Linked DNA regions of Drosophila melanogaster. The protein of the gene in region 1 interacts with the protein of each later gene in a pairwise test. Each region holds a gene or a part of one and is shown in the gene's direction. Other genes may lie near its edges.

Evidence for each region.
Region 2: the proteins of CG7139 (region 1) and Jon99Cii interact in a two-hybrid assay, tested with the Drosophila melanogaster proteins (one large-scale study listed by BioGRID).
Region 3: the proteins of CG7139 (region 1) and Jon99Ciii interact in a two-hybrid assay, tested with the Drosophila melanogaster proteins (one large-scale study listed by BioGRID).
Region 4: the proteins of CG7139 (region 1) and Tob interact in a two-hybrid assay, tested with the Drosophila melanogaster proteins (one large-scale study listed by BioGRID).

What each region holds. Positions count from the first base shown.
Region 1 is NT_037436.4:22,063,673-22,074,257, reverse strand, and holds CG7139 (uncharacterized protein), read left to right. Parts: upstream 1-2,409; 5' UTR 2,410-2,606; intron 2,607-2,702; 5' UTR 2,703-2,731; coding exon 2,732-3,490; intron 3,491-4,095; coding exon 4,096-4,882; intron 4,883-5,062; coding exon 5,063-6,353; intron 6,354-6,410; coding exon 6,411-6,483; 3' UTR 6,484-6,988; downstream 6,989-10,585. Other genes in the region: CG7133 (uncharacterized protein), read left to right, coding at 1-983; CG14561 (uncharacterized protein), read right to left, coding at 7,541-8,125; Oct-TyrR (Octopamine-Tyramine receptor), read right to left, coding at 10,184-10,576.
Region 2 is NT_033777.3:29,923,254-29,929,759, reverse strand, and holds Jon99Cii (jonah 99Cii), read left to right. Parts: upstream 1-5,144; 5' UTR 5,145-5,172; coding exon 5,173-5,970; 3' UTR 5,971-6,006; downstream 6,007-6,506. Other genes in the region: alpha-Man-Ic (alpha-Mannosidase class I c), read left to right, coding at 1-957; CG15522 (uncharacterized protein), read right to left, coding at 1,185-1,579, 1,639-1,765; Jon99Ci (jonah 99Ci), read left to right, coding at 3,586-3,848, 3,906-4,461. UniProt on the Drosophila melanogaster protein: Major function may be to aid in digestion.
Region 3 is NT_033777.3:29,916,667-29,923,955, forward strand, and holds Jon99Ciii (jonah 99Ciii), read left to right. Parts: upstream 1-5,549; 5' UTR 5,550-5,575; coding exon 5,576-6,373; 3' UTR 6,374-6,789; downstream 6,790-7,289. Other genes in the region: trp (transient receptor potential), read right to left, coding at 289-646, 708-1,075, 1,133-1,431, 1,487-1,721, 1,889-2,065, 2,160-2,361, 2,749-2,891, 2,953-3,190 and 1 more; Jon99Cii (jonah 99Cii), read right to left, coding at 7,124-7,289. UniProt on the Drosophila melanogaster protein: Major function may be to aid in digestion.
Region 4 is NC_004354.4:16,086,082-16,094,541, reverse strand, and holds the start of Tob (transducer of ERBB2), read left to right. Parts: upstream 1-3,046; 5' UTR 3,047-3,395; intron 3,396-5,174; exon of another isoform or gene 5,175-5,281; intron 5,282-7,152; exon of another isoform or gene 7,153-7,331; intron 7,332-8,460. Other genes in the region: CG42354 (uncharacterized protein), read left to right, coding at 1-439.

The sequences.
Region 1 (10,585 bases):
TTCGGCGGCTGTCCCTGCAATATCATCCCGACAAAAACGAGGATGGAGCGAAGGAGTTCCTTAGAATCAACGAGGCCCATCGCGTCCTGATTGACCATCAGAGAAGGGCCTTGTACGATTGCTGCTTCCAGTCCATGGACGTTGAAGCCATTATTCCCGCTGAGAACGCTAATGGCCAACTGCCTGAATTGGGAAATCCATTCTTCCCAATGCCACCCGAAACGCCGCCTGCTAGTTTTCGCGAAAAGCTCAAAGTTGCTGCCTTCATCGGAGGCTTGCTGGTTGGTACATACGTGGGGTACCGGGTATTCCAGAAACCGCCGCCATCTATCCCAGTTCCCCGGCCAATTCCAACGCAGGAACTAAGCGATTCGCATCTCGGATCCCTATGGACATTGTCCTCCGGGCTATTGGCATTGAGATCGAAAAGAATACTGGGACTCGGCAAACTGGCGCCATGGGCAAATACTCGAGTTTCTCCTAGGACTCTGAACGCGCCCTTTTCTTCGGCTGCCAAAGTCGTGGCCAAAACAGTAATCCGAGGCCAAAGAGCCGTAGGTTCTTCTGCAACTTCCAGTTCGTCCTTAGCATCGGCTGCGAACGTGGCTGTGAAATCCCTACCAAGCAAAGCTTCAGTGAATTCTGCTACGGAAACAGTCGCTAAAACACTTTCCCAGGGATCACGAGCTGGACCATATTCAGCTTTGAAAACAGTTTGGTCCTCAGCGGTTTCATATCTGCGCTCTCTTCTAAATTGGGCAACTACACCGAAATGGGGGAAGGCAACACCAGCAACCATTGCTGGTTTGGTTCATAACTCCAGACCAGTTTGGTCATCTGCAGCAAAAAATACCCTTGCTGCCTTGATGTATGCATGCTCCAAAATATCTTCGTATTTGCGCGCTTTGGCCGGGCGCTTTATTAGTCCCACCTTTAGACGCCTCCAAAGACTACAATCTTTTAAAGGAAGCTTGAAAAATTGAAAAATTCCATATCTGGTGACTCCGCTAAAAACGCGTAGAAGGCAACTCAGACAGAGCAGCTCCGCCTCAATCTAAAGGTATATCCTGAAACATGTTTTGCTTTTTTTAATCAAGAAGCATTAAAGAAATAGGGTTAAAATAGAATCGAATACGATATGGCATACACACAAAAAAAAATTCAAATAAATAAAATTTTTATACCTTCGGACTAAAATATTGTTTTCATACTCTGCATCGGATTTGGTTATGTATATACAGCTGTGTTCAATGAAATAGCAGTGCGAAATATGAAATACAGATATTTTTCCATGTCCCTTTTCGGTATCGACTATTTATTCCACTTATTTTTGAATATGTGCCCTGTCCAGTCAGGAACTTTGAAAGCTAGAATGTTAAGAATAATTATAGCGATTATAGAGACATAGACGCAGCGCAAGTTTGTTGACCCATGTTAACACGCCCAATAAACGCCCACAAGCCGCCCAAAACTGTCCAAATTGTTAAGATATTTTTTTCATTTTTTATTTGTCTATTATAATTATATTTTATTATATTATATTTTATTATTTTTATATTATATATATATACATATATATATATTATACATATTATTATATATATTATATTATTATATACATTATATTTTAATTTTTTCGTTTTATTGTGTGTCTTGTCAATTTCCATCTGTATCAAAAACACTTTTGCCACGTCCCTCTTTACACCAGCAAAACGCCCAAAACATTCCCACTTTTAAACAATTTTAAAAAATGTTCTTAAAATTAATGAAATTTGCACACTACTAACTGAGTAAATGGTATCTCAATAAAATATGATGGCAAATGTAGAAACGAAAGACGTATTTATTTTCTTTAAACAACAATATGTCCTTGGTGCGAAATAATATACAGATAACACGATTTATTTATCGATGTTTTTCCATACAAAGATAACACACATTTCCTCAATATCGATCGATATTCCAGAAAAATTATGAAATTCGCACACTACTAACTGAGTATCTTATAGTCGGGTAACTCGACTATAGCATTCTCCCTTCTCTTCTTCTGTTCACAATTCCATTTCTATGTTATCGGAAGAAAAACTATATTTTGCTGCGTAAGCGAAACTAGAATTCGGGTGTTTAGTACCCAATTAACAGCTCTCAAAGTTCCCGAGATATTGGATTTCGTACGGACGGACGTGATAACGACGTTATAATTTCATGTTATTTTATAACATTTATCATAATCATATTAAGAATCTTATTTATGTGCTTAACATAATGTTTTCATAGTATTAAAAAAAAAAATCCAAAAACTTAGCGATTTTATTCCGAAGCAATAGCTTGGCTTGAAAAAAGCTGGCCGCCAGCACTGCTGCTTATCGATGACGCGTGACCATAGCCTCCTCCATCGATAGCCTCCGCACAGACGTGGTTTTCCCAACTTGCAATGCAGCGAATTAACGGATGTAATGCGACGCATAGCTTCCCGATTTCTGGAAACAAGCAAACGAAGTTGCAGCCCGCAGGTTGATCCTTGCATGACAACCGATTGAATGAGAGAGATTGAGACATCAACGCGCAGTTACGACATCGGGGGATTACAGTCTGGTCAGATATTGGTGAGTCCGAGATTCAGATGCGAATTGGGTGATGGGGTGTCTGTGGTTACTGCGCATTACGTTGGTCGATCCCCCCTAAACGATCTGCTTTCACAGGGCAAGCTAGCAAAAGGAAAACAAACGCCATGTCGACAGAGCGAAGCTCGCATTCAGCTGAACCAGCGGATTTGGCGCTTTTGTTGGACCGCATCAACATCAACAACAACAATAATAATAATAAGAATAATAATAATAATAATAACAACAACAACAACAACAATAATAATAATGACAATAACAATTGCGGTCGCAGCAAGAGCGGTGGAACTCACAGGAAATATGCAACTGCTGAAGCCCCAAGCTCCATTAGAATGTGCCCCGCCAGCAATCTGAACAGCAACCAAAGCAACAAACAATTTAACTCGATTTGCCAGCGGGCGCAGGCGGGCCATAAGCTGATGATCATAATGCGCGGCCCTTCAGGCAGCGGTAAGAGTACACTGGCAGAGTCTCTGCTGCGCCAGGCGCATCTACTCGATCGACACCAGGTGCGCGACTTTGTCCTGAGCTCAGACGACTACTTCAAGACGCGCCGCGGCTATGTCTTCAACCCCACTCTGCTGCCAGCTGCCCACGAGTGGAACCAGCAGCGAGTGCGCGATAAGGCCGCCTCCGGCTGGAGCCCCATCATCGTGGATAACACCAATACAATGGTCTGGGAGATGCAGCCATATGTCCAGTTCGCCGTGCGCCACGGTTACGTAATTGAGCTTCTCGAGCCCAATACTAGTTGGTGCAAGTCTGCCAGCAAACTGGCCCAGAAAAACGTCCACAACGTCCCACGGGAGAATATTCAGCGCATGCTAGAGCGATTCGAGCGGACGACTGCGGGAGAGCTCATTCAGGTAAGAAGGCACTTTAAATCGTCTATATACATACATATGTATATAAAGATAGAGATTTATTGTTAACTGCAATCTCATTGTGAGTCAGCCAAAAATGTGTAATTGTATACCCGTTACGCGAGTGTAAAACGTTTAACTAAGCTCGATAAAAAATCTTTAAGAGGTATATATTTATTCTTAATCATTATCACTGACCAATTCAATTTTGCTTCTTTGCATTTCATTATTTTTCCGGCGAACTTCCTTTGAATTGCGAAAAACATTCAGACCACCTGCAGAAACATAGTAGAGGCCTTTTTTGTTGGCTACTTAATTTTTTAGGGCATACCATGGTCAGTCAGAAAGTCGCTGGCAATCTGAGAAACAGTCGCTTTTTTGTAGCTGAGAGAAGACGGGTATCGAATATCCGAGGATCGGAATGTGGCAGTCTAGCCACATACACATACAATTTGAGGCAACTAGCTCGTTTTCATTTTTTATTGGTAAATTTTTGGTATATTACGTTCTTGGTTGTATTTTATTTTCTACCCCGAAGCTTATTAAGTAATGGCACTTACTATAGTTTGTATCTTTCACATCCTCTACCGGAATATTTTATGCGACAGTTAATGAAGGAGACAAAGTATTCTGTGGAGCTGCCGCAACTACGCAATCACCCGCCCCTTCCTGCCGTGCCTATCATCACGAGCTTTGAAGAGAGCAAGCTGCTGGAAGCCCCAGTCCCAGCGCCAGCGGAAAATGCCTTTAAGCTGAATGCTAATGCCCAAACGTGGGTGCCCTACGAGCACGGAGCGCCTTCATACTGGTCGCAAACAGTGAACTCAGTAGACACAGGCGACGCGACAGTTCCGGAAATTCCGGATGCTTTGGGTGCCGCAGCTCCCGTAAAGAGCGAATTGTCTATTATTGATCTGCTCCGCGAAGAGAACCAAATAAAGGTGGTGCCGTCGAAAGCGGAGTCTAGCGGGGCAAAGCCTCTTGAGATGCACAGCCTAGACTGCCCAAATGAACCGAAAGGGTTTGCACACCTGCGCCAGATGTATCCCAACAAACAGCTGGCCGGCCTCTGGGATCTGTTTGTAAAGTGCCAGGCCGACGTGGATTGGGCCGTTGATATTCTATTAAAGGAGGACGAGCTCAACGCGGCCACTGGTTCGGATCAAATCGGATTTGAAGAAACTATCGATAGCGAGGAGGCGGCGCAGTTTCAATGCGACTGCGACAAGGCGGTTGAAGCCCAGGAATCTCCGATTTCAACTCCCATCTGCGCCTCACCAACTTTACCAGTATCGAAGACCGAATCCAAGCCGCAACGTCAACCGCGCAACAAACGAGCATCGGCCCCCACCAACAAAGAGTTGCAACTGAAAATCCAGAATTGCTTTGTGTTAGGTAAGATATTGTTCTAATAGGAGTCAATTAAAAATAAACTTATTATTTATATTGCGTTAACACTCACGGCACTAATGAATTTAATGTATTTCCATTATATTATGTTAGAGATTCGAGTTCGATATCTGATGCTAACTAATATTAAATAACTAATAATAACTAATGATTATTGATTTTTAGGCGACGAACAATACTCGGAGCACACCCGTAAAATTCGCGATATTCGCAATGGAATCCTGGATCAACCTACAGTGCCTAAGCTACTGGAAGCACCCGAGGAACCAGAGCTTGAAGAGCAGGAGGAGGAGGAGGACCCTGAAGAAAATACTCTGCTGGAAATTGATTTGGGCGGCACTTTAATTGAGCAGCTGCGCGCTCAGTTCCACACGGAGGACGAGTTGTTGCCGCCGGAACAGGAGCTTCCCACCGCAACAAAAATATTTATGCCGCGTCAGCTAGCCAAGCAGCTTTACATGTTATGGATGGAAGCTGTGTTTAACCAGCTAGAGGAGATACGCCAGCAGACAATGCGCGATGACGAGCAGTTCGCCCGCCTGCTCAAGCATCCAGGTTACGCCGATTGCAGCGAGTCTCCGAGCAACGTGGCTGAGCTTTTGGATATGGAGTTGGCCTGGAGCATATACAATAGCGAGCAGCTGGCCGCCAAGAAGGCAGCCGAGTTGACCGCTCGCAAACAAACGCCCACCGATATAGCTACCCACCTAACCAAGATGAAGCTGTGCGAGACGTTCCCGGACGTTCCTACCGACACTGTGCTTGAGGTCTTTGCCGCAACCGGCAGCAATTACGTTCAAACAGTCGAGGTCTTGGACAGCAACGTTAAGAGTATGCTGAGCAAAGCGGAACTCTATGATAAGGCCCTTCGCGAGGGCGAAAAGCTTAGTGAGCAAATGGCGCTGGAAGAGCGGCGGCAGCAGCAGCAACAAAAGCAACATAACTCCTCCGGCCAAGGCCAGCGCTCCAGCTCCAGTTCGTACGCCTCTGGCCGGTCGCCCCAACTGCAAGAGGAGGTCAAGTGCGCCGCTCTTCGCGACTTTGAAGAGACGCGAAACATGGCCGCCCATCACTCCCAACTTAAAGCAGAGTGCTATCTAAAGGCCAAACAGGCGGTACAGCGCGGCAATAGTAGCGTGGCGTTATACTACTCGGAGATAGCCAAGTTACACAAGCAGAAGATCGACGTATTCAACCAGAGGGCGGCCAATTGCATAATGGAGGTGCATCGGCACACCCAGAACAACCCGGACCTGCTAGACCTGCATTACCTACACACGGTAGAGGCGATCAGTTGCCTGGACTTGTTCCTTGACCGCCACATAACTGTGCTGCGCAACACCACCCGCGTGTACAAGCACGTATTCATTATCACGGGCCGTGGTCTTCACAGCGCAAACGGAGTGTCCACCATTAAGAACAGGGTGAAGGCCAGGCTGGGCGAACGCCGTTTGCGGTTAGTAAGGGGCATATTTCGTTAAAAGTCGTCTAATTATTCACCAACCTATTTCAGATGGCAAGAAGTTAATCCAGGGTTGCTGCGCGTCAAGGTGTTTTCAGCATCGCGTCATTCAAAGAACTTCTGATTGGATGCGAATCGCACGACAGGACTTGCTGGACAAAATGCGTTTCACACTGCCATATAGAAAAAAAGCAAGTGTTATTTAACTTTTGTAATTGCCTACAAAATTGTAAAGTTAAGTAATCATTTTCCCCTGTCCTGGTCGCTGTTTTACTTTCGAATGTGTTCTATAACCTATGAAACATTCCCGATTTTATTACTCTATATTACTTTCAATGCTCGTCCCAATTATTTTTAAGTTTGAATAATGCTTCCAGCGTAGAGTTTGTGTACGACGCGAATTCGCAATGCGACTCAGGAAAGTAGTGATTTAGTATCTTCCAATAATATACCTAATCACAGAATTACTTATTTTTATACTAGTTTACTCAATGTACTACCTAGGTACAATAGGATTAGTGTAAAAATAGTAGTCCTAAGGTACACGAGGTCCAAAAATTACCATTACATTTCAGATTAATAAGCAAATATTGACATTTTCTTTATAAATAAATCGAAACGTGAGAAGGATATTATTCAGACAAGTTTTTAAACGAACATCGTAGTACGATATTTTATTTTTCAAACTGTTACATCGAACATTCTACAATATGTTGTAAACATACTGGCTTCGAAAATCAATTTGTACTACAAATTACGTAGTAGCAATGTATGCCTAGATCCGTCAATTAGCCATCGAACTTTCCAGTGTTTACAATAGTGGTTGGTTTAGTTCTAGGTACCGCTGATCAGTCTGTTCTATGAGCAATATAAACCTTCCTTCTGCCTACCTGGACCATCTGCCCGGCAGGGAAGAGCATAACCTTGGTTTAATGTTTGAAACATGGAAAGACGACAATCTTTATTTACCACTACAAAATCTTTTAGCCTGACATCGGAAAACGCGTGACACGAAGCTTAGGTAAACTGAAGGATCAGCCGAGGATACACATCTGGGTGTACACCTGCTGACCGCTGGGTGTGAACAATACATTCAGGTAAATGGTAACTTATTCTAGAACATCGATGGCAGTCTGAGCGAGGGCTCCATGGCTTTGGTTGGGAAGGCTGGACTGCGGTCACTAGGTGGGGTCCTTGAGTGGCGAGGGTAAATGCGGGTCAGAGACTCGCGCTCCCGGCGACTGGTTCTCCTTGCCGCCGTGCAGCCGGTTGGCCATCAGCTCGATGAGATTTGCACGTCCGCGCTTGGGCGTAAATCGGGAATTGCCCGAGCTGGAAGCTTTATCGCGGGGCGGGGTGCTCAGGAAAACGCCCTCGAAGATCGTCTCCAAGCTGTTGGAGTCGTCGGCGTCATTGGGCGGGCTGATCTGGGCGTTTATCTCGTGTAGGGCAACGTACTGAGGATCGTTCTGGGGTTCCTCTTCCGGAAGGAGATGCTGCCTCTGCGGCTGCTTGGGCGTCTCGATGTCCGACAGATCGAGATCGTCGATGGGCGACGGGGTGCGTCCATGCGGCGAGAAGGCGCGGATCTCGAAGGCCGGCAGCTCGTCGCAGCCGCCATCCGGTATTTGCTCCTCGCGCTCGAATGCCAGCGAGAGGTCACTCTCGCTCTCCATATCCACGGAGGACATCGAGCACTGCAGGCGGAAGGAGCCGTTCAGCTGGTCTCCCTCCTCACACGTATTCACCGCTTCCGAGGTCTCCATTGGTCTGGCTGGTCTTTCAAGTGCGTCGCTGGCTTATATTCATTACAGGGATGCGCTCTGCGAAGGGATGCGGTCTGCTTGTCTGTGAACGCGTCTCGCTTCGCGGAAATCCGCGCTCTCAGGTAACCAATGTTTAGGATCTTGCCCTGTGCAGCAGACAATTTTAAATTTTAAATCCCAACAATTTACAAGCCGTCACTTTGCTAGTGGTGAGACAATTGAGCTACCTGAAACAAACCGGCGTTCCCTGCGAATGGCTATCGAACGCAGCCGATAGTTGCGGGTAAACAGCTTGTAACCAAAGACCCCTTAGAATAATTCTAGTGTTATTCTAGTGTCTTTGTTGTAACGATATGCCATGCCGCGTACTTTGCAGTCAGGCGAAGAGATAATGTAAATATGAAAAATTATTGTACTTTAAAGTGCACTGATGCACTGATTCATTTTATGTATTACAGGTTCTTCCAACCGTGTCAATAAAATTTAAAAACCAACTTATTCGTTTTCTGTTTGTTTTCATTTGGGCCAAAGGGAAACTATTCTGCTAAAATAATCAAACGAATTTAATTATTTTCTGTACTGGCAGCAATGAGAATGTCCAATAGCTCGAAACCGTTTAGAGGAAGGAAGTTTTGAAAATTATTTAGTTAAAAATTATAAGCACAAGAAATACATTGTAACGAAGGATATATAATGTAAGTTATCAGAAGGTGTCGCTAAAACTACGGGTCTTGCTAGGTAATCATTTTTTCAGCTAGATCTTTTAAGAGGGAAAAAGTCTTTCGTTTTGAAACCTAATTAACTTACCCTTAAGAAGGTAGACCAATCTAGATAAATTCAAACGCTTTTTCTTATAACTTTAATTCGAATGTGTCTTTTATTTGTTTCATTTACGCTTTGCTCGCTCTTTCTCGTTAAACAATATAATTAGTGAAACTATCGTACATCGTCGTTAAAAGACATAAATTGTGATATACATTTACGATATAGCATGTACTTGAGTTAACACATCCATTGAATTACGTCCTTTCGCCAACTCTGTTGCATTTCGTAACGTGCAGTTAAACATTTATCTACCTTAAGTAAGTTTCGATGTGCTAGCTTTAAGCTGCCCACTCAACACAATAGTTGCTATGCCATAAAAACAATTAATCGTTAAATTATTTAACAAATAGTCCAAAGCGTATTTGAAAGTATACATTAGGTATAGTGGTTTATCGTTTACCTACAATTAAAGTACATATAAATACAAATCGTTAAAGTAATGCCTAGAAAACGTTTCTCTCTTGGAAGTTATTATTTAGCTTAGTAGTTGCTTACATATCTTGAGCGCAGATTTAATTTAACAAACACCTTTTTGGTTATCCATACGCTTAGGGTGAAACACGAAAGTTGCCACAATTCTTTGTGCCTAAACATTTAATTTAATTGTATTAAATTCAATTTGATGCTATTCTCGTTTGGGATGCCACTTAGCTGGAGTATAATGCATGTATAATTCTTTACCATGTAATTTTTATGATTTTCCTAGTAGCTGTGCCTTGAGGCAACATCCTCACTTTAATCGCAGCACAACCCATTTTAGTATGAGTATTGAACAATCTACGCTTAATGTGGTGGTACATCTCAATCGATTCCAAACAACAATATATTAAAAAAATGTTCAAAACTAAATGAAAGTATTTTAATTACGGCTAGAAATAATAACTTAGTTTGAAACTATATATACACTCGAGTCTCATCTTTGACTTTCCAATGTGGGGGCTTTTCACTTTGCCGAAACGTTAAACATTAAAAATTATATTCAATCTATTACACTTTACCAAATTCATCCACTTCTTCAAAATGAGTTCACCAAGAACGCATTTGAAAGTATATATGTGTTAGAGAAGTTGAACTCGGAAGTTCATCAACTGGGGGTCCAACTGTACATAGACTGAGATCTCCGCTGAACGCATACACGACCATTTAAGTTTGGCACAAACTTTGAGTTACGCTCTCCCGCTCGAACCATGATTGGCCCGGTTTATATCTTCCACCCGCCCCCGCCAGCCAGCCTCAATTCAGGCCCAGAAGTCGCTTGAAGGCCCGGCGGTAGTCCAGGTTGAAGATGGTGTAGATGACCGGATTCAGGCCCGAGTTGATGTAGCCCAGCCAGGTGATGAAGTTCTTGAACTTGTTCGTGGGGCAGCAGGTCTGGCAGAAGGGCAGAATGACGTACATGAGGAAGAAGGGCAGCCAGCAGATGACGAACACGCCCATGATGATGCCCAGGGTGCGAGCCGCTCGCCGCTCCTTGGAAAGCGAGATCTTCTGTTTCTCCTCAATGAACTGGTTAACCCCACTAGTCTTCTTCTGCAACGGAGTGACAGAAACGGCAGCGACTCCCGTCGAGGATTGCGGCGGGGTCAGCTTTAGGGACGTTTGCTCGTCCGCCTGAGTCACGCAGACCTGGAATCG
Region 2 (6,506 bases), on another chromosome or scaffold:
GAAGGCAGCACCCTCACGAAGTACCTAAGTGATATCTCTCGCACTTCTGAATTTGGCTCTCTGCACCTGGAGTTCTACTATCTCAGTGAAGTCTCTGGATATCCGGTGTACAGGGAGCGAGTGGATGCTATCCGCGAGATATTAGCTAAAACAACCAGGCCCAATGGCCTTTATCCCAATGCCTATTGCACAAAATTTGGTAAGTGGGAAAATTACAACTGCTCCATGCACCGACTTTATGATACCCTGCTAAAGTCATGGATTCAGTCCGGGAGAACTGATACTCAAAATGCTGATACCTTCAAAGAAGCCATGCTAGCTGTGGCTCAAAATCTGGTTGTCATCAATCCCGAGGACGTGACCTACGTGTCCACGTTCAGGAATGGCACTCTTTTCCATCGTATGAGGCACTCCGATTGCTTTGCCGGCGGGCTTTTTGTCCTGGGAGCAGCAGAAACCCAAATGAAGCACTGGGAAAAGTATGCCCATATTGGCATAGGCCTCACAGATACTTGTCACGACAGCTACTGGAGTTCTCCCACTCGGTTGGGTCCGGATACGTTTGCCTTCACGGAGGAAAGCCAGCAGGAAATAGAGCCGCTCCAGAGGAACTATTACAATTTACGGCCGGAAGTCGCGGAAACTTACTTGGTTCTGTGGCGCATAACCCATCATCCACAGTACCGCTTGTGGGGATTGGAGATGGTGCAGGCGATAGAGAAGTACTGCCGAATGCCCTACGGATATACTGGAGTGATGGACGTTAACAACGTTACTTCGGAACCGGATGACGTGCAGGGGTCCTTCTTCTTGGGCTCCACTCTGAAGTATTTGTATCTGCTCTTCTCCGACGACGACGTGGTTTCGCTGGAGCAGTGGGTCTTCAACAGTGCAGGCCATTTCCTGCCCATTAAGGGCGTGAACCCAATGTATCGTCAGCATAACTCATCGAACTAAACATTAGCCAATTACCAAAATAGTTAGCATCTATTTAAAGTTTAACTTTTAATGCAGACATGTATAAAAAACTTGTGTGATCTAATACTTTCACAATGAATTACAAAACCTAATTTCTAATTAGCTGGGAGCACACACATTGAGCACACCTAAAAGCACATACACACATAAATGTCAAATGTCGAACATTGGCCCGCTAAACCATCGCTGGCATCCGCCCTAGAGCTCTAGAGCTGGCTGTTGGCCAGGTGGTTGTCGATGACCCGCTGGATGATCATCAAGCAGTGGCGCTGCCTGGCCACCGTGTTGTCGATCAGCTGTTCCGTGAACTGACTGGCCGCAATGTTCGTGTTGGGCGGTATATCCTGCGTGCAGGATATGTACCTGTTGAAGATCTCCGTGTTCAGCGACGTGGCCAGATACCGCTCGCTCTCGTCCTGCTGCTGCAGCTTGTCCAGCTCCTGGGCGGCCAGCAACAGCTGATCCTTGGCCTTCTGATATGATTGCAGCTCCTGCAGGCTGGCATACTCGGCGCTGCTCAGTTTCACGGACCTGCCGCCGTCTTTCGTCATCTGGCGAATGTGGTACTTGCGCTCGGCCACAAAATTACCGAGCAAGTATCCTGCGAAACCACGACACACAAGAGTGACTCATTAGGCGCTGTCCTGTGAATGCACTCACCTGTTATCAGCATGAAGAAGCCAATCGTTAGCACCAGGGAGGCACAGGTGCGCTTGGAAACGTACTCGCGGAACTCCCGAGAGCTGTTGGCCCGCACCGCCGTCTCGTAGCTGAGTACCTGGTGCATCCTGATGACCTGGTCCCCTTGGGGATTATAATCTGTGGGGCCTGCTTGGCCTAGTCACGTCGAGACACTCGGATGTGTCCTTCAGAACTGGGTGGGAACATGGTGCTATCGGTGGTATCTAGTGCCTAAAGCATGGAATTTGTAATTAAACATTAGAAACTGTATCTGTGAGTTACAGCTGTAAGTTTCTTAATTACTTCGATATGTTCAAGGATTTAAGAGCGCGGAACTTGGAATGATATAACACCTCTTGGTATGTCATGTCAGGATTTAATGTTCTCCTTTCACATTTTTAGTTTGAGCACTAAAACCGCAGTGTCAATGCCCCGAGTTCCTGTTCTGGCGATGCCGCTGATACGGAGGAGCGTGACTTAATCGCCCCACCTTAAAAGGCAATCGCGAAGCCCGTTGTTATGGGCATCGCACACGGCAAACAGCGCGGTCCTTTAAACGCTTCGTCGAACACTTTTCACTCACTCGCTTTATAGGATATCGTCGGCTTGGCTCGACTCTTGTGCTGCCAGGATGGGGTACATATGCATTAAATTAATTAATGACTGCACTTTTGTGTTGCACTGCCCGAAGGAAGTGGGCTACAAGTGTGGGAATGTCCTTTGCGAAGGGAGCGCGCTCAACTTTTAATTGTATTATTTATGCTTTATTTACTCGTCGCGTTCGCTCGGATCCTTGCGCGTTATCCTTGCGAGCGGTCTGAATGCCCGGACGCCCAGTCGGGAACTGACTCACGCTTCGTTGGGGGTCGGCTTTAATAGCTCTCCGTTCTCCGTTTTCCGTTCCGTGTGGTGAGTTTCCTGCCCCGATATGTTGCACATTTCAGCGTGGCACTACGTCGGCGGAAGGACGGTCAAGGGGAAGCTCGGAGAATGCAAACAAAGGCATTCCCAGTAGCTTCCTAATGAGGAATGGGTCCGCCATTTCGCCCACTCCGCCCGAGGCGTTCCTCAGAAACTATATCGGATTTCAAGCCATCGCCTCACTTTGAGTGATACTGCTGCTCCGTAGTTCCGAAAGTGGACCTCCCTTTTGATTGCCATAATCGTATTTTCTTTTCTGCTTCACTATTCCCTGCAATACTTCAAGGATATCACATGACCCTCGATTGCCATTTCTGTTCCTTGGGGTTCTTTGAAGTCCCCCCCATGACACCTTGCTTGCACATTTTCACTTGTTGTGCTGTGACATATATTACTGGGAATTTATGCATAAACTCAACCATTGCATACAATTTGAATATATATTTTGAGGTACGATTATAAACTTTTGCTTTTCTGAACTTGAAGTACATAATCCCATAACGCACTCTATTACTAAGTTAATCCATTGGGTGGCATAAATTAAAATAATTTATTGCACGATAAGCTTGTACACTTCTATATGTGCATCGATAGTGACTTCATTGGTCTATATAAAAGTGTGAGACCAACAGGAGATTTTAGTATACAAAATGAAGGCTTGCGTACCCATATTGGCAGCCCTTTTTGGATCAGGGAGCAGACTGGCATTTACTATTAACCATGGTTAATAATTCTTTATGATTTAATAAAATTAAATGAATTAAATTGCTTGAACTTGTATCCACTCAGAATTGATTGAAGCACTCAAAACACTCTTATTCCCTTTGCTAACACTTCATTCATACTGCCAAACACTCGTCTTGAGTATCTGCTAGTATAAATCAAACTTTTTCGTTGATAAAAGTGCTGCGAGATAAGATTTCGCACTTTGAATTAGCATCGATAGTGATTATGGCTAAGCTATATAGTATTGGGACCACCATGGGAGCCTTTTAGTCTTTCAATATGAGGGGTCTTACACTCTTGTCGCTCGCCTTCCTTGGGGTCTGTAGTGCCCTAACTGTGCCCCATTCGCTGGTCCATCCACGCGATCTGGAGATTCGTCATGGAGGGATTGAGGGTCGTATTACCAACGGAAACCTGGCGTCCGAGGGTCAGGTTCCCTACATCGTGGGTGTGAGCTTGAACAGCAACGGAAACTGGTGGTGGTGCGGCGGATCCATAATCGGACACACTTGGGTGCTCACTGCTGCCCACTGTACCGCTGGGTGAGTTATTTGATTTCACAAATAATTAACGCTCTTTGATAAATCATCGTATTGCAGTGCTGATGAGGCTTCACTGTACTATGGTGCCGTCAACTACAACGAACCTGCCTTCCGCCACACAGTGAGCAGCGAGAACTTCATCAGATATCCCCACTACGTTGGACTCGATCATGATTTGGCCCTGATCAAGACTCCCCATGTGGACTTCTACAGCCTGGTCAACAAAATAGAGCTTCCCAGCCTGGATGACCGATACAACTCTTACGAAAACAATTGGGTTCAGGCCGCCGGATGGGGTGCCATTTACGATGGCAGCAATGTGGTGGAGGATCTGCGAGTGGTGGATCTGAAAGTGATCTCCGTGGCGGAGTGCCAGGCTTACTACGGAACTGATACCGCCTCCGAGAACACCATCTGTGTGGAAACTCCGGACGGAAAGGCCACCTGCCAGGGTGATTCTGGTGGTCCTCTGGTCACAAAGGAGGGTGATAAGCTTATCGGAATCACTTCCTTCGTCTCCGCTTACGGATGCCAGGTTGGAGGACCGGCTGGCTTCACTAGGGTCACCAAGTACCTGGAATGGATAAAGGAGGAGACTGGAATCTATTATTAAAAAAAAACTTTACTAATTTCAAAGCAAAAAGGTGCTTAAACAAGTTTTAAATAAATGAAGAACATATGCTGTTATATTTTGTGTATTATTAATTTCTTGGAAGATAGTGGCATATTCATGTTTAGAGATAAAATTACCAATAATACATAATCAATACATTACATATTACATAATACATACCATTTAATACATTACCTATGTAATATTAACCTATTAGTGTTTTATTTTTTGATAATCTAAAAATCAACTTGTTGAGAACAAAAACTGTACAATGTGCCGTATGAGTAATATTTTATCACACTTTTTTTTGAAATTGGTAGTAAATACTTTCAATAAACATTATTCAGAATTTAAATTTCTTAAAGATCATAAAATACTTTACTCCTCATTTGGGTAATCTGAGTATATAATATATTTTAGGTGAAGTGAATGTCCTTACATGATACTATCATACTGAAGAGTAAGTTGCAAATAAGGCACATGTCATTCCACTTCAAATTTAGGCCATAATTTACAAAAAAAAAAAATCACCTGTAGTGGACTTATCAGTCGACGATGGCTCGCGATGATAACTTGATTAAAATTTACTGCCCTCCCATTTTACATACGTGTGGAAGGAAGGGCTCTTGGTCGAGATAAGACTACGGACCACTTCTGTATATAAAGGCGCTTCGACATCGGAACACCATTGAGTTGCAAGACTTGACCAAGATGAAACTGTTCGTATTCCTGGCCTTGGCCGTGGCCGCAGCTACTGCTGTGCCCGCTCCCGCCCAGAAGCTGACCCCGACGCCCATCAAGGACATTCAGGGTCGCATCACCAACGGCTACCCAGCCTACGAGGGCAAGGTGCCCTACATCGTGGGTCTGCTCTTCAGCGGCAACGGAAACTGGTGGTGCGGTGGCTCGATCATCGGCAACACCTGGGTCCTGACCGCCGCCCACTGCACCAACGGAGCCAGTGGAGTGACCATCAACTACGGAGCCAGCATCCGCACCCAGCCCCAGTACACCCACTGGGTGGGCAGTGGCGACATCATCCAGCACCACCACTACAACAGCGGCAACCTGCACAACGACATCTCCCTGATCCGTACCCCGCACGTCGACTTCTGGAGCCTGGTCAACAAGGTTGAGCTGCCCAGCTACAACGACCGCTACCAGGACTACGCCGGATGGTGGGCCGTGGCCTCCGGATGGGGCGGCACCTACGATGGCAGCCCACTGCCCGACTGGCTCCAGTCCGTCGATGTCCAGATCATTTCCCAAAGTGATTGCAGCCGCACCTGGTCTCTCCACGACAACATGATCTGCATCAACACTGACGGAGGCAAGTCCACCTGCGGAGGCGACTCTGGTGGCCCCCTGGTTACACACGACGGCAACCGCCTGGTCGGAGTGACCTCCTTCGGATCCGCCGCTGGCTGCCAGTCTGGTGCTCCCGCCGTCTTCAGCCGCGTCACCGGATACCTGGACTGGATCCGCGACAACACCGGCATCTCCTACTAAGCAGTTGATGTTCAATAAACGATTATAGCAAAAATGAAAAATTCGACCAAACTATTTATTCAGTTGTAGATTGAGGGGCACATTATTGAGAGCTAAATATTTATATATTCTATTATGTACATTAAATGTACATATATTATAAAACTAAAAGTAATCTCATATTTTCCTTAAATGTTTTTAAAACGAGATTGTTTAACTTATTTTTATATCCTATTTTTATATTCTATCCATATGATAGCTGTTGAACGCTAGTAGCGACTATAGGGTATTCCTATATTTAAAACTGTTTAAGCTAGGAAAGTCCACTTGCAGCTATTTATAATAACATAAATTTATATTATGTTTATGCACTTTAATTATGTTGCAAATATAACAAGTCCAATATTCTACATACACCATTTTCAATCCAGTTTGCTTTTTATATACATAATATACATAATAATTATAAACAATACATAATAATAATACATAATAATAAGACGTATGATCCATATATATATATTTGCATATAGTCCGATGGTTCGTCATTATGTGTT
Region 3 (7,289 bases), on another chromosome or scaffold:
GGGTGGAAGGACACAGAAAGGATGTATTAGACGTCAATTTGACGCACAGATAGCTCTGCATGGGCTTGATTGAAAATGATTTCGCTTAAGATTTGTATTGATTGTGAGCCGCCTCTCACTGTGAGGTGATTCAACTTGAAAAAATCGAACTTTCGAAATGTTACTTACATTTAAAAGTAATATGATAAGAAATATCATTTAAAAGTAGAGTACACTGAATTTAATATATATGTGTGGATTTGTATAATACTTAAACTGAAATATTGAATTTCTCTGAGTGTAACTTACCATGAAGCTCTTGGTTCGTGACGGTCGCTTTCGGCCCAGGGTCTTCCTCAACATCTTCATGTTGGGACAGAGGTTGAAGGGCGGTGGAATGGTGCCGCCATCCTCGAAGTAGCTCATCCACAGCTGGGATCGGGCGAACTTCCACTCAGTGTCGGCTCGCTCCGAGATGATTTGGTAGGAGTTGGACATCATGGCAATCAGCATGTTGAGAAGCACAATGATGTTGATAACCGAATAGGAGCCGAACATTAGCAGTGCCCAGAAGCGGGTGAAGCTCTTGATTCCCGCCAGATCGAAGGAGACCAGGTCCACCAGGCCAAAAGAGGCCCAAAAGAGCGATTGTGATGTTTCGAATAAGCTAAAGTAAATTGAAATGGGATGCCAATATGATAAAGTACATAGAAATGAATGTAATATACTTGGAAAATCTTCGCCAGATGGTACAAGCCTTCTCCTGGTCATCAAAGTCAGCCACATCGGGATGCAGGTGATAGCACTTGTTCTTCTCCAGCTCAGCGTAGTACCATAGCAACTGGTTGAGACCACATCCGAAGGCAAACAACACCAGTGTGTAGATGAAGAAGAACTTGATGATGTCGATTATCATGCGACCCAGTGAAACTTGCAAGGGTCCCAGGTGGGGATTAATGGAGAAGATGTGGACGAGCTTTAGATAGGAGAAGACCATTCCGGCAGCAAAGGCGCCCTCTGATAGAAGCATTGGATCAAACGGATGCCAGTGTTCCCTTGGGAAGTAAGGATCTATGCCCCGGAACCAGAGATCACGCTGAAATCAATTCGTTTCAGTAACTCCAATTTATTCATTAGATTCATATGGACTCACATGGACGATTACCCAAGCGGTGGCCCTACAAAGAATCCACGTCACATAGAACATGTTCGATATGTAGTCCACTATGTTCCAAAGATCCATGATGTACTCAAACAAGCCGTCCGAATATAAAGATTTCAGTTCCTCAAATATTAGAGCCATTATGTAGGTAATGATTGCCAGTTCAATGGGACCCGGTAGTGAACCTCTCTCGTGTTTGCGCCAATCCTCCAGCATGGTCAGCATCCAGGGAAATGCGAGGAGTTCAAAGGTGATTTGCACCACCCTCAGGGAGGCAGCACCCAGGAGCACTGTGAATGGGCGCATATTTAGATGGATGAAGTGTTAAGCACCCACTTTACCCACTCAGGAAGAACATGTAGGAGCAGGAGTGCGTGATGAACTTGACAAAGGGCTTGCGCATGAACTTGGCACCCTCGGAATCCGGGGCCAGGATGTACTTCAAGCTGTAGATGGGGAAGCTGCATCCCAGCTTCACGACATCCATCAGCTGCTGGGAGGCCTGCTTGCGCCGGAAGCCCGGCAGTCCGTCGTACCAAATGGCGGCCAACAATTGTTGGACATTTGGATGTGCCACAAACTAGAAGGGGGAGTAATGTTTATAAATTCAAGCAGGGTACTAAGATCCGTTTCTATATATAAAGCTATTAAATCCCAGTTGGTCTGTGGTGGATTAGGCATGGGTATCTAGCCACAAGCTTGTAACCTTCACAGTTCCTTAATGTGCACGGATTAGTCCGAACCCACCGTTTTTTGCTTATAGCGAATGGCCAGCTTCAGTCGTTCCAGGGTTTGCCGCTGGCCAAGGCACCAGATGTCGTGGGACGGCTCGTGGTTGAAGTTGAGCATCACCTCGAGTTCCATGGATGTGCGTGCGTGATCCAGGAGCGAGGTCCCGAAGTCCTGCACCATCTGACGCATCTCCTGTTGGGCAAACACAAACAAAGGCTCGCATTCGCATTCGCATAGACTCTAGTGGCACACTGGCCACCGCTTACATTGCACACTACTACCGTACCGTGTATTCGGCACGAAACTCCGATTCCATCGCCTGCAGGCGCTTGAGTTCCCAGGACAATTGGAAGGCGGTCAGTACAGGGTCCCGGGAGCTGAGCGCTATCAGCGAGCTGGCGGACAGGGCGCGGTATGCGTTGATCCTCGACTGCGAGTGGCGCAGGGAGTCCGTCATCTGGGAGGTCACACACTCATCGCAGCCGCACCTAGAAACAATTGAGATTAAGCGATGATATACAAAGTGTACGGAACCCAAGAGTTCTATAATAATAAATACATTTAAATCAATCTGAAAGGAGTACAAAGGACCTTCTCTCCTAGCAAGGACATTTATGACGCTGTTAAAGGCTTGAGTCCATTGACCCAATTTAAGAACATTCAAGGACCTGCTCTTCCCACACACAACATTACACCCTGTATTAATATTTCACCCTAATTTGCCCGCAATTATCTAAAATTAGAGGCACCCAGCGATGTGCTACATAAGTGTGTTGCCAATTGGACAAACAATGGAACGTGCCGCTCGAAGGACGAGGAAGCTCACTACATAGCCATATCACCGAGCAACTGCATCCCTACACCACCCCACTCACTTGACGTCGTGCGGCATGGGCAGCGTGGCCCCGCGATCCAGGAGGATTTTGAGTATCTCGTAGTTATTTCGGTGGGCGGCCAGGATAAGGGGCGTGATGTCCACGGTGAAGGTGGACTTGGAGCGGTCCACCGCCTCCCAGCTCTGCCAAAGGAGGGGAAAAGAGTAAGAGTTGTGGCATATTCTGCGGCAGGATGTGACCTACGTATGGCTGGCCCTCCTTGTGGTTGGTCTCCTCCCACTGCAGCAGCTCCTCCACCGCCTCCACATACTCCTCCGAGATGGCGTGCAACAGGGCGTCGCCCACCTCGATGTTATGCTCCAGCAGGATCACCATCAGGTCGAAGTTCTCGTTCTCGATGGCCGAAATGAGGGCGGAGCGGTTCATGGGATCCGTGCAGTTAATGTTGAACTTGTCCGTGCCCTGGTACTCCTCGAGGATCCTTCAAGGACGAAATCATATTAGCCGAGTTACTCGAAGCCATAGGGAGGAAGCCTCACTTCTTGACACCTGGCAAGTCACCCCGCTCGCAGGACAATATGAAATTCTTCTCCACATCGCTGAGGATGTACTCCTCGGCCATCATCAGGTCGTAATCCAGGCGAGACCCCAACGCCTTCTCGGCATCGGATTCCGTATTGCTGCCCATATCTGCACTGATTTACTGGTCTATGCGAACGCGATTATCAGGATCGGATCACTCGGTCACTTCACATCTCACAAACACTATGGGCATTTATCCCTGCTCCTCGGGGAGCCTTGGCGTAATCCTTTCGCGCACTGTATCCTTTAGTGTTCCATCGTGGCGATGTTCCGCCTCCAATTAGCCGCGTTGCACTGCTGAAAAGTGGCAGCCACGGGTCGCTATATTCCACTAATTACATTAGTGCCCAATGTGGCTAAAACTCGGTCAATGTGTGGGCGAACCCCGAGTCAATGGGCCCATTTGACCGCACTTCGGTAATTGTGGGGCTGCATTTGGAGGCAGCAACCGATTTTAGCGATTTCAGTTCAGGAATCTTTCGTCCATTTGTGGTTGCATTGCACGTGATGAGCGACTTTCGATTTTCGAAGCCCCAGCAACGGAATCGCACCACTTTTATGCCTGAAAATCCAAATCAATACTGCCCAGTGGGTTTATATGTAAGTGAAAAACAAAACGTGCTAAATGGAACAATATTATCTGCTTATATTTCGATGAAATGATGCATACAGTTGAGATATGAAATTAAATAGGTGTCTAATATTTTGTACCCAGCAATATAGATCAATGCCCAAAAAAAAAATACGCACTTTGCATACTTTTTGACACCTATTCAAGCCGAAATTCAAAGCTACTTAATATTCAAAAAGTAGCATGAGGGTGTTAATTTGCGAGTAAATAGGGATTCATGGACTTGGGTTCATATCCTAGAACTATTCACCGAGAAAAGCCCTTAAAAATAGGAGAAAATGCAAGCTTTTAAGCTTTTGGCTAACCAACAGAGCCGGAAAACACACCACACCTGCAGTTTACAGTCGAGTATCTACCGAATTGAAATGATTTCGAATGCCTTTTGGGCACTGGGTCAGTGATTCTGACTTTGTGATTGATGAATATTGATTAATCTGCATGGGAAGTGGGAGGGGGAGGTGGGGTGGTGTACATCTAAGACCCAACTCGTCCTTGGCAGCCGAGCGTCTTGAGCCTTGAATGTTGAATGTTGCTTACTTCAGGGCGCTCGCAGGGCTTTTGTGTGTCAATGCACTTGGAACTAAATGCCAGCTCCTGGCTAAAGGCGGAGAAAAGGAAAAGGAACAAGCCCACTTTCACGGAGCAGCCCTTTGAGATGAATGTGTGTGTTCGAAAGGTGGGGTTCAATGGAGCTCCGGGCGGAATGGCATCGTACGTGTTCAAGTCGTACGGGGTTTTTAGCGGGGCCAATGCACTCCACACTCCACTCGCATGGCTTCCAAGAGAAGAGGAAGGAAGTGATGGTGGCCCAAGGAATTTCAAAATTAAAGTCACAGCTGTCGAGGGGAACTCATTAAGTGCGAATTAATTAGAGGCCATAGCTGAAAATACCTGGATGGCATTCTCGTAATTATATAAAGGTACTCCTCATTACACAAATGTGGCTAAATGCACATTCTTCTTATAAGTTCCCATTAACTAAATGCTATGTTGGGTTTATACATGATTTTCTGCAGTGTACAACTGGGTTGCACTCAATGATTCATTGGCCTCCAACAAAACTCCTGCCTTATTTAGCTTTTAAGGACCCTTGTGAGTTATGTGCTCAGTTCTCCACGAGAAAAGCGAAAGAGCTCATTTTCCCTGGGTTTGCGTAGCAGGTTGCACTTTCACTGTCTCCCCACCGGAAACCGTCAAGATTGCGGGATAAAATTCATTTTATGGCCATCTGTATTAAAATTATATCTCTAAGCCCTCAACATGATCGTAAAAATCTATAGTATCAATGCTGATTTGCTTTATGGCACCGATAAGATACTTATGTGTTTAAACAAATTGAATGTACCCACGTAGAAAATGATTTTATGAATTGCATCCGATGAGTAGTATTTAACATTAAATTTATTGTATTTTTAACTGATTCGCAAATCATTGAACACTGATAAGTTTACGTTTTTTATATTGCTGTACAAGCCTCTGCGTTGTTTATTTTTTGTCTTTTTGCTCCTATGTAATCTGGATGACATTAATTTACTGCCCTCCAGCTCAACATATGGGTAGTTTGACACTTGGTCAAGATAAGACAAGGGACTTCTTCTGTATATAAAGGCGCTTCGACATCGGAACACCATTGAGTTGCAAGACTTGACCAAGATGAAACTGTTCGTATTCCTGGCCTTGGCCGTGGCCGCAGCTACTGCTGTGCCCGCTCCCGCCCAGAAGCTGACCCCGACGCCCATCAAGGACATTCAGGGTCGCATCACCAACGGCTACCCAGCCTACGAGGGCAAGGTGCCTTACATCGTGGGTCTGCTCTTCAGCGGCAACGGAAACTGGTGGTGCGGTGGCTCGATCATCGGCAACACCTGGGTCCTGACCGCCGCTCACTGCACCAACGGAGCCAGTGGAGTGACCATCAACTACGGAGCCAGCATCCGCACCCAGCCCCAGTACACCCACTGGGTGGGCAGTGGCGACATCATCCAGCACCACCACTACAACAGCGGCAACCTGCACAACGACATCTCCCTGATCCGTACCCCGCACGTCGACTTCTGGAGCCTGGTCAACAAGGTTGAGCTGCCCAGCTACAACGACCGCTACCAGGACTACGCCGGATGGTGGGCCGTGGCCTCCGGATGGGGCGGCACCTACGATGGCAGCCCACTGCCCGACTGGCTCCAGTCCGTCGATGTCCAGATCATTTCCCAAAGTGATTGCAGCCGCACCTGGTCTCTCCACGACAACATGATCTGCATCAACACTGACGGAGGCAAGTCCACCTGCGGAGGCGACTCTGGTGGCCCCCTGGTTACACACGACGGCAACCGCCTGGTCGGAGTGACTTCCTTCGGATCCGCCGCTGGCTGCCAGTCTGGTGCTCCCGCCGTCTTCAGCCGCGTCACCGGATACCTGGACTGGATCCGCGACAACACCGGCATCTCCTACTAAGCAGTTGATGTTCCTTAATTCTGAGGGGTTTCTTCAATAAACGATTATAGCAAGCAACTCAAGTTCTGTTTTTGGGATGGGATTCAGATGTCTTCTTGCTTAAGTAATGAAATCAATAAAATATTTCCAAGTGAAGGGAAATATATTAAACTGCAAACGGAAATAAACTTATTCCGATTTCCGATTTATGTATCGGAAAAAATCAAGCTTTAGGAACACATAATGACGAACCATCGGACTATATGCAAATATATATATATGGATCATACGTCTTATTATTATGTATTATTATTATGTATTGTTTATAATTATTATGTATATTATGTATATAAAAAGCAAACTGGATTGAAAATGGTGTATGTAGAATATTGGACTTGTTATATTTGCAACATAATTAAAGTGCATAAACATAATATAAATTTATGTTATTATAAATAGCTGCAAGTGGACTTTCCTAGCTTAAACAGTTTTAAATATAGGAATACCCTATAGTCGCTACTAGCGTTCAACAGCTATCATATGGATAGAATATAAAAATAGGATATAAAAATAAGTTAAACAATCTCGTTTTAAAAACATTTAAGGAAAATATGAGATTACTTTTAGTTTTATAATATATGTACATTTAATGTACATAATAGAATATATAAATATTTAGCTCTCAATAATGTGCCCCTCAATCTACAACTGAATAAATAGTTTGGTCGAATTTTTCATTTTTGCTATAATCGTTTATTGAACATCAACTGCTTAGTAGGAGATGCCGGTGTTGTCGCGGATCCAGTCCAGGTATCCGGTGACGCGGCTGAAGACGGCGGGAGCACCAGACTGGCAGCCAGCGGCGGATCCGAAGGAGGTCACTCCGACCAGGCGGTTGCCGTCGTGTGTAACCAGGGGGCCACCAGAGTCGCCTCCG
Region 4 (8,460 bases), on another chromosome or scaffold:
TGATGGTCCACAAACCGTAACTTCCCATGGCCAGTCATCGAAGCTGGCGGATGGTTCGAAAGAGCGTTACAGGCCAAAGTATAAGCAAGAGTACAACACGAACGACAGAAAGCAGCGGTATCGGAATGAAGATCACGATCGCCGCAGCCGTACAGATGATCACTCACGGGAGAAGGGTAAAACTAGATGCTACGATCAGTCATCCAATAAACGAGGATGTTACAATAAGAACTCTAAAAAATCCAACGAGGAGCACTCCAACGAGAATAGCAAGGAACGCTATCCTAATAACGATAGCGGTAGTGGCGAGTGGCATGAACGAATGATGCTACAGCGAGAAAACGCTCGCCACAAACATCAGAAGCGGAACAATAAGAACTGGTTCATCAAACGAGGCGAAAGTCGCGAACAGATGCGTTCTGGAGAGACCCAAAGCTAAATGGATTCGCCGCAATCTTATATATAATCTACGCATCAAGACGATGACCTCTATCTTCATCCCGTAGGGAAGAAGGGATCGAAATTTCGCAACAGAGGTCACATATACATATATACTTTAATCCCAAGATATACTTAAGGACAGAGTGTGCTAGTAAAGCGCACACCGAATTTGCGCTGGTTCCTAACTTATACATGTGTGTGTTTGTAATATTTCGACGATGCTTCTACAGAGTGTTTTTTTCTTTTTGTTCAAGACAGCAATTAAACAGGAATCAAGGTTTTTTGAAACACACTGTAGAACCAGAGCTTAATAAGCATCAAGCGATGCAAGTGCTTAATATTTATTTATTTTTACCTACAATACAACAATCGTTTTGGCTGCGTTAAAGCTAGCATTATCTTTATAATCCCGATATCGCAATGTATGTACATATACAGATTCAATAGTCAGTGTTTAATACTAAGTGTATCGCATTTTTAATGGAAATATCGTACATATCGCCCACATTTAACTAAAATGGAATTAATACTAAAAAGCTTATGAGGACTTATGAGGATTAAAATCAAAATTAAATGTAAATCCCACTTAAGTTAAATGTGAGCGATGTCTTTGTATAACATTGGTTCCTCCCATTGAAGGGTGTTATTTCTTCTACAAAGTTCCAGCTCAACCTAAGAGACAGACCCATCCAAGTCCGTCAATAAAGCAAAATCAATTTCCTTTCAACGAGTTTATCAATAATCCTTTTGAAACATTAAATTTCGCTACAAATTATGTATTGATATATACATAAATATATATATTTGTGATACCTATACTAATATTTTTTTTTAGTCTAGAAAAATAAATTATTGTACCATATTAGGTATTCCTGGAAAGCCAATTTAAAAAAAAGAAATCCTATAAAACTGATAAAAATCGAAAATGTAAAGGAAATCCATATTTTTGTATGCATGTTCGTTCAAAATCTAAGCGTATATATTAATAAATGTATAAATGTGTACCCCAAATGTTTTGCGATGAAATAAATAAAAATCCTTCAATTTCATTTAGTACTTCTTTATCTACCAAACATTGAAAAGGTTTTCACCATTCTTGATTTAAATATTTGAAAAAAGGGAAAGTAAGAGTATCACAATATTTCTTACTATTCACGACGAATATACATGCACATACATATGTACATACACAGGTGTGACCTTTCACCTTTTTGTTCGAGCTAGGTCCACTCTAATGTACATATACATATTACCTCTGGGTGTATGTACGCATATGTTACGTGCTCATGCACTTTCATTTCTTGTCCCAGTTTTCGGAAAAGGGAAAAGGGGGGGAGGGGTCCGAGCCAAAGCCCAAAGAGAGCGACTCGTTTTGTCGGCCAGAGTGGTGGAAGAGGAGGAGGAGGGGGGGGGCTGTACTAAAACTGTGCCACGGAAGGATATGCACTCATTGCGCAAGCCCTTCTAGGCTCGATTTTACTACGAGCACAACCAACACACGCCCACACACTCCTCCAATCGTCCAGTCACGCGCAAAATTATTCAGGGCATCCGAGCGATGTAAAAGCAAGGTGAAGTTTAAATACCTTAACAATCGCAAATCCATATTGAGAACTATCAAAATAACTAATATTTACTTAGCTAGGATTTCCACAAAGTAGGCATTATGATTTCACACGATGATCTTATGAGGTTTAGTTACTATTAATATATAACATAACTTTTTCAGAATATCATATTGATATTGCAAATTTAAGTTAGACTATGATTTATAAATAAACTATATTTAAAATGACTAAAATAAAACTACAACAAAGCAAGAAAGTAAAAGTTTTCAAAAGCTTTAAACTGATATTTTAAATATTTCAATCCTAACTTGCTTTTAACTAAAGTATATCATGTTTATGTCGACACTTTTCCCAAACCAATATGGGATGTATATATTTACATCGGTTGCTAAATTGAAGGTAACAAATTTTAGTCATATTACCACCTTTTCGGATATAATTTTGTCCAGGGAAAAGCACCCACACAAAAATATGATGAGTGCAAGCAGTGCTGCCAATTTTTTTCAAGAACAATTTTTTTTTTTGCCAGTCGAATCTCATATACCCTTGCAGTAAATATAAATTTAAAAAACTGGTCTATAAAAAAGTCAAAACAATTTATCAAAACAAAAATTGATTAAAAACAACAAAACTATGATTTCTTGTTTAATATTTTCAATTATATTTCCGTCTGTTTGGTGTTGGGCTCTTGGACAGTTAGAATTACCGGTGCCCGCTTAAATATTTATTTTATTTTAAGCAATCCACCATAGACGGGAAAAAAGCTAAATTGACAACCGTGGGTGCAAGTACCAGACAGAGAGAGAGAGATAGGGAGAGGGAAAGAGAGAGGAAGAGAGAGAGTGGGAAGCCGAACCGAGTTTAGAACATTTAGCTTCGTGAGTGATTCGTGCGTAGTGCCGAATAAGACCAACACGGTGGTGAAGGTGGGGGTGCTGGTGCCGAAGTGTGCGTGTGCACTTGTTTGTTGTTGGTTCACTGAGGCCCGTTCGCGCGTCAATTCAGTCTCAGTTACTAAACCGATTTCAAGAACTACGGACGCTTCGCTCGGCCCTTGCTAAGTGGCGTGTGCTACAATTAAGTAACGGGCAGAGACATTTCACAACAACAACAAAAAATAGGAAAATAGAATACAACAAGAAATACAAAACCAAAAACCATCAAAATCCCAATAAAACCAAACCACATTAAACAAGAAAATAATAAATAGACATCCGAGCACATATACCCACGCAAAAGTAAAACAATAGCATACTAGTTGGTACAACTGGGGTATTTTATACATAACTCGCTAAATCCTTCGTTTAATACAACGACCACCAGGAGGAAACAACCAAAAACTACAGTAAATCGGAAACAAGAAATAACCATCAGCAAACTGCACCGGTAGTTAAAAAAAAAAAACAAATAAATGTTGAATTACAATTTTTTATCTATTTTGTTCGAAAAAAATATTGCAATATATTTGTGTACTTGTGTGTGCTGTGCAAAAATTGAGAAAGCAGCGAACTATCCCCCACTACACATACATCTATCTAGCCCCCACAGAAAATACAATAACAATGATTGTGATATAAAAAAAAAAAGAAACGAAAAAAAAAGAAAACAAAAAAGGAGATGGAGCATCGCTTCTCTCACTTTCGCTCGGCTGTTTTCATACTTCTTGTTTTGTTGTCGTTAGTTATGGCGCTCACTAGAGCACTGGGCTTTTCAGCGCCGAAAGGGACAGCTGTTCTTCAATAAATTTGGGTAGAGAGAGAGCTCGACTCCAGGGAACGAACTATAACTCCCTTTCCTATGCATTCAAACTTTCGTAGCTCAAAAGATGAAAGAGCAAACCGAAGGGTGCACAAGATTTGAATACCCAAAGCTTTTACAGTAGGGTACTTTAGTTGGCTTGAGCTCAGATTATTAAATACTATATATGGATATTGATTTGTTAAGAAGTTTGATGTAAATACAAATCGATCTATCTTAATCTAGCATATCCCAATTTGTTGTCGTAATTCGTGCTTAAAAGCTATAGCTAGCAGCTGATATTTGCGTTAGCAAGCTCCAAATACAGTACGCATTCTTTAACTTGACCATTTCACAATTCTGTTCAATAAATAATTCAGAGTACATGTCGATACCTCATGTTATCAGTGTTATGAAAATTTCATCCCACTATATATAACTTTGACACCTCTGAAAATGTTCGTGCTAGACAGGTTCCACTGTACTTTCTGCACAGTCTTCTATAGTTGTGTTGCACAACAAAAGACGAATTTTATAATAGTACATGTGTGCGATTTCATTTGCGCAAGCTTTTGTTTTTTTTTTATTTATTTATTCATCTGAAACAACATCGATGATTCGATAGCAATTGTTGCAAGTTTGAGAGCATAGTGACCACCGACTGCAGCTGCTTTTGCATTTCTGCCAAAGAACGAATGAAATGAAATAATTTTCGACCAAACCAAAAAACGAACTTGTGCCAGACAAATACTATCGCGTCAGAAGACCATCATTTGGCATTTTGTCGCGGTGTTCGTCGCAAGCTTATTGTATCTACTTGCATGCATACAGGGAAAAAATAGTATTCAAAAAAAAAAAAAAAAAAATTATATTGTGTACTGTACACACTCAAATGTGTATTGTATAGACAGACATTCCGGCATGGCAGTGTATTTGTCATTTCAATTTTCGTGTGTGCTCAGATAAACGAACGAGAATCATGTGCCTAATATTGTTTTTTTTTTTTTTATTTGTTGTTTGCTGTTGTGAGGTAAAATGTCCCAACATCTTACGAACAGCTGACTGTGTTTATGTGTCCTCATATGATTATGTTGCGTTATGCTTCAAATTTTGGCAAGTGAAGTGCATGGGTGAACATAAAAAAAAATAATAATAATACAGCAACAAAATTAAGAGGAAGTGAGAAAATGCCAATAGTTCAGGCACACAAACTCATACGCAGTTTGTCGGTCGGTCAGCTGTTTTGTGTTGTCTTGAGCACCAGGGTCTCTCATTTTTCTATTTTTTTTTTCTTGTTGTTCCCCCACTCTCTATCTCTCTTTTCCTCTCTCTCTCTCTATCTCTCTCTCGCCGTTGAAATTATACCCCTGCGCCAGTCGGGGAAAAATTAGAGCAACGCTTGCTCCACAACGCTCGATAAAACTGCGGGAAAGAAGGCTGCAAAGCAATAACTAAAAATAATTTGTGATGATCTTGTAAATTGAAGTACTGCACAATGTCTACAATCCACAAGTTTCGAATGCACAATATAACGTGTGAGTGTGATTTTACCACTAAGCGCTGCAAGGAAATTCCCCTAAAGCTGGTTATGCAATGTATTGAAAATCGTAGAGCATTTCTCTTTTGTTTGTTGTCGATAAAAATATACCTATCTAGTGCGATACAATTCAGCGCGCAGTAAACATTGAGTCCAGCCAGATCTTTATATATGTACATATGTATGTACATATCCCCACATTGGCTTTATGTAATGGGGCCCGGTAATTACTTCGCTCGGTCACATTTTCGTTTAGATTGGGCACTTCAGACCCTTCAGTTGCAGTGGTAATCAATTCAACGGCATTAATTACACTCTGCTATGCAAAATATGAATGCAAATCGAATGGGGAAAAAAACAAAATATAAAACAAATGTAAAATACGATTGTGAGCACAACATTAGCATAAACCCTACCAAAATTACAATTACATTCAAGAGAAACTGTTAATCTCGAAGTTAATCGAAAATACGCTAATTCCTATGTACCTATGTCTGTATTTAGTTACTTGAAATGGACATCTGTACAAAAACGAACACAGCCTCTCACAACATTTTCCTTGGAGAAACCACCTGTATTAGAACCTAAATAAAAAACAGATGATTATAAAATATACAGCTGTATGAGCGTTTGTGTAACCTCATCTAATTATCTTCAAACAAGCAAGCTGATTTCCTTTAGCAAATAGTCGTACTTTAAATACCCTTTGTTACCTATTTCGCAGACACGCAAATTGAAAGCTTAACTTAATTGATTCCAATTTCGCTAATTTGAAGACAAAAGCGTAGTCATAAACGAATTGTGCTGTGTAAATAAAAACAAAACTACTTACACTCAAAACAAAAGTTTAAGATGCAATTTTGTTATACGTTCTTTTTAATTCCACTAATTAATGCTTCTAACAATTTGTATATATCAATAAATATGCGATGAACTGCAGAAAATATGCAACTAAAAAATGTTTTAAAATAAGATTTAAAGATTTCTGACTGCATAATTTTGAGACCTTCTGCTAGATTTACAAATCCTAGGTACTTCTAAAGGTTTGGTTTTTCAATATAAATCCAATCTCTGTTTTATCCGATTGTTGAACTGCCTTGATTTCTATATGAATGCATTTTGAATGCAAAGTTATGTAAGCAAATACAGTATTCTATGTACTCCCCACTGCGCGTGTGTGTGTTAGCCAAGTGAACTTGAAAAGCCCTATATTCACTTTTGTGTCAGTACATAAGACACACGGAAAAATACGTCTTTAAATGTTCGTAGTATTTGTTGCTGTAGGTGTGTGGGATTTGGAGGCTTCAACGTTTTGATTTTGCGGGAGACACAATAAGTAATTCTATATACATACATATATACAATATATATACATATATGCAAGTATATAGTCAGAAGTCGGAGTTAGCTTATATGGCATTTAAGCTTAACAATACAAAGAGGGGGCCTTTTTGTCATTTTAATCAACCTTTAAAACTGGTGGCCCAGATTTTATTGATTTTATGTTGTGAAGAGCGACCCACACACACACACACACACACATACACTCGCACACACACAGTCCATTGAAGAGTGCATTTTCGCTCAGGGAGAGTGTCAAAAGTGAGAGATAGAGATACCGTTGTGATACCGTTTTCGGTGAGGGTGAGAGAAAGGCCATCAGCTGAGAGAGTTCACTTTCTCTGCCCGTTCCAGTCACAACGAGCAACAGCAACCTGAATATATAAATATATATAGAAATGTTTATATATACAAAATATATGCAAGGATGTGTAAAGAATCCGAGCTTGGGGATGTATTTGTGAAATTATAAGCTAAAATGTCAACGGAACAGCGCCTTCGGCTCTCGGCGGAGTTTGTTTTAGTGATATAGTTCAAAACACCTGCTTTGGGAATTGAATATGCTAAAGAAAAGTGACTAAATATCTCGAAAAACCAAGGAATATCTAAAGTTGTGAAGTACCTAATTTAAATAAATCCGTGTACAAAATAAGGACTCGTTGTTTACCCCTTAAAGTTCAAATTTTGTTGCTTGTCCGCATCAACAGGCAAGTCAATAGAGACGTTGAAAAGTTTTTAAACTTAAGTATTTGAAGAAAGGGTTAATCTTCCCATTTAATAATAAATTGTGTTGTTTGAAAATAAATAAAACAACTAATTGCGCTACATTAGAAGCAGTGATAACTCTAATTAAGAGATGCCTCTAAGTATGCTATGAAATTTAGAACATACTCCTTTGACATAGATGCATCCTTACTCTTGGCAAAATACCACCTAATAAACATTTCTTTTGTTAAAATTCCCAAATGGAAATACCTAAAGTGATTCTAGGTGGTGCAGTCTGCTTGACCTTTAACCTTTGCTCCATCGCATCGCACGACTTGCCTATCGCACACAACCAAAAGCACAAAATTACCATGATCTGTCCTAGAACTAAGACTTAGATCAACCTATATTTATTGGTTTAACAAAGCCATTATCTACCCGTATCACAAATAACCTGCTAAAGGCAAATGTCAAACCTTCGTAACGGTTATGCCTTTCATAGCATGTGGCCTTCAATTGGTTTATAAAATGCAAAAAGCAGGTTATGTACATGCAATAGATACGCATACTAGCACGCATGACCCCGCTGCATCAACACAACTGCACTGGTGCTAAAAAATATGTGTGTGGGCGGGCGCTGAGGTCTCTGTGACGTATGTATGTTATGTTACTGCGCACTGAGACCCACTCACTCTGGAGAAAAGTGAGTGAAAATCAGAGAAAGAAAAGAGAAATGGCTTTCTCTTCTACTAAAATTCAAAATAAAATTATGCTAAGCTGGGGGATCCAATACTATTTCATGTTAAGGACAAAGATTTCAAATGTAACATAACCAAACTCTGCCTTGATTATTTTTAGATTAATATTGAAAGCCTTTTCATATTTGCATATAGAATCCTTGTTGAGGCACCGTCTAAGCAGAAGTTAGCACACAAATTGCACTCGTTTTTTCCAGTGTATTGCCTCACGGCTTATCATCTGCTTTCGCCAATGTTTTTCACTCTCAATTCCTATTAAAAGGCTCAGCTTGCAATGATTCCACATCCGAAGGCCAAGAAATGCGCTTCGTGTGTCCTCGGATCAGCTGCGTAGAGCGTGGAGCGTGGAGAGCGGATTAGAACGTGGTCTTAC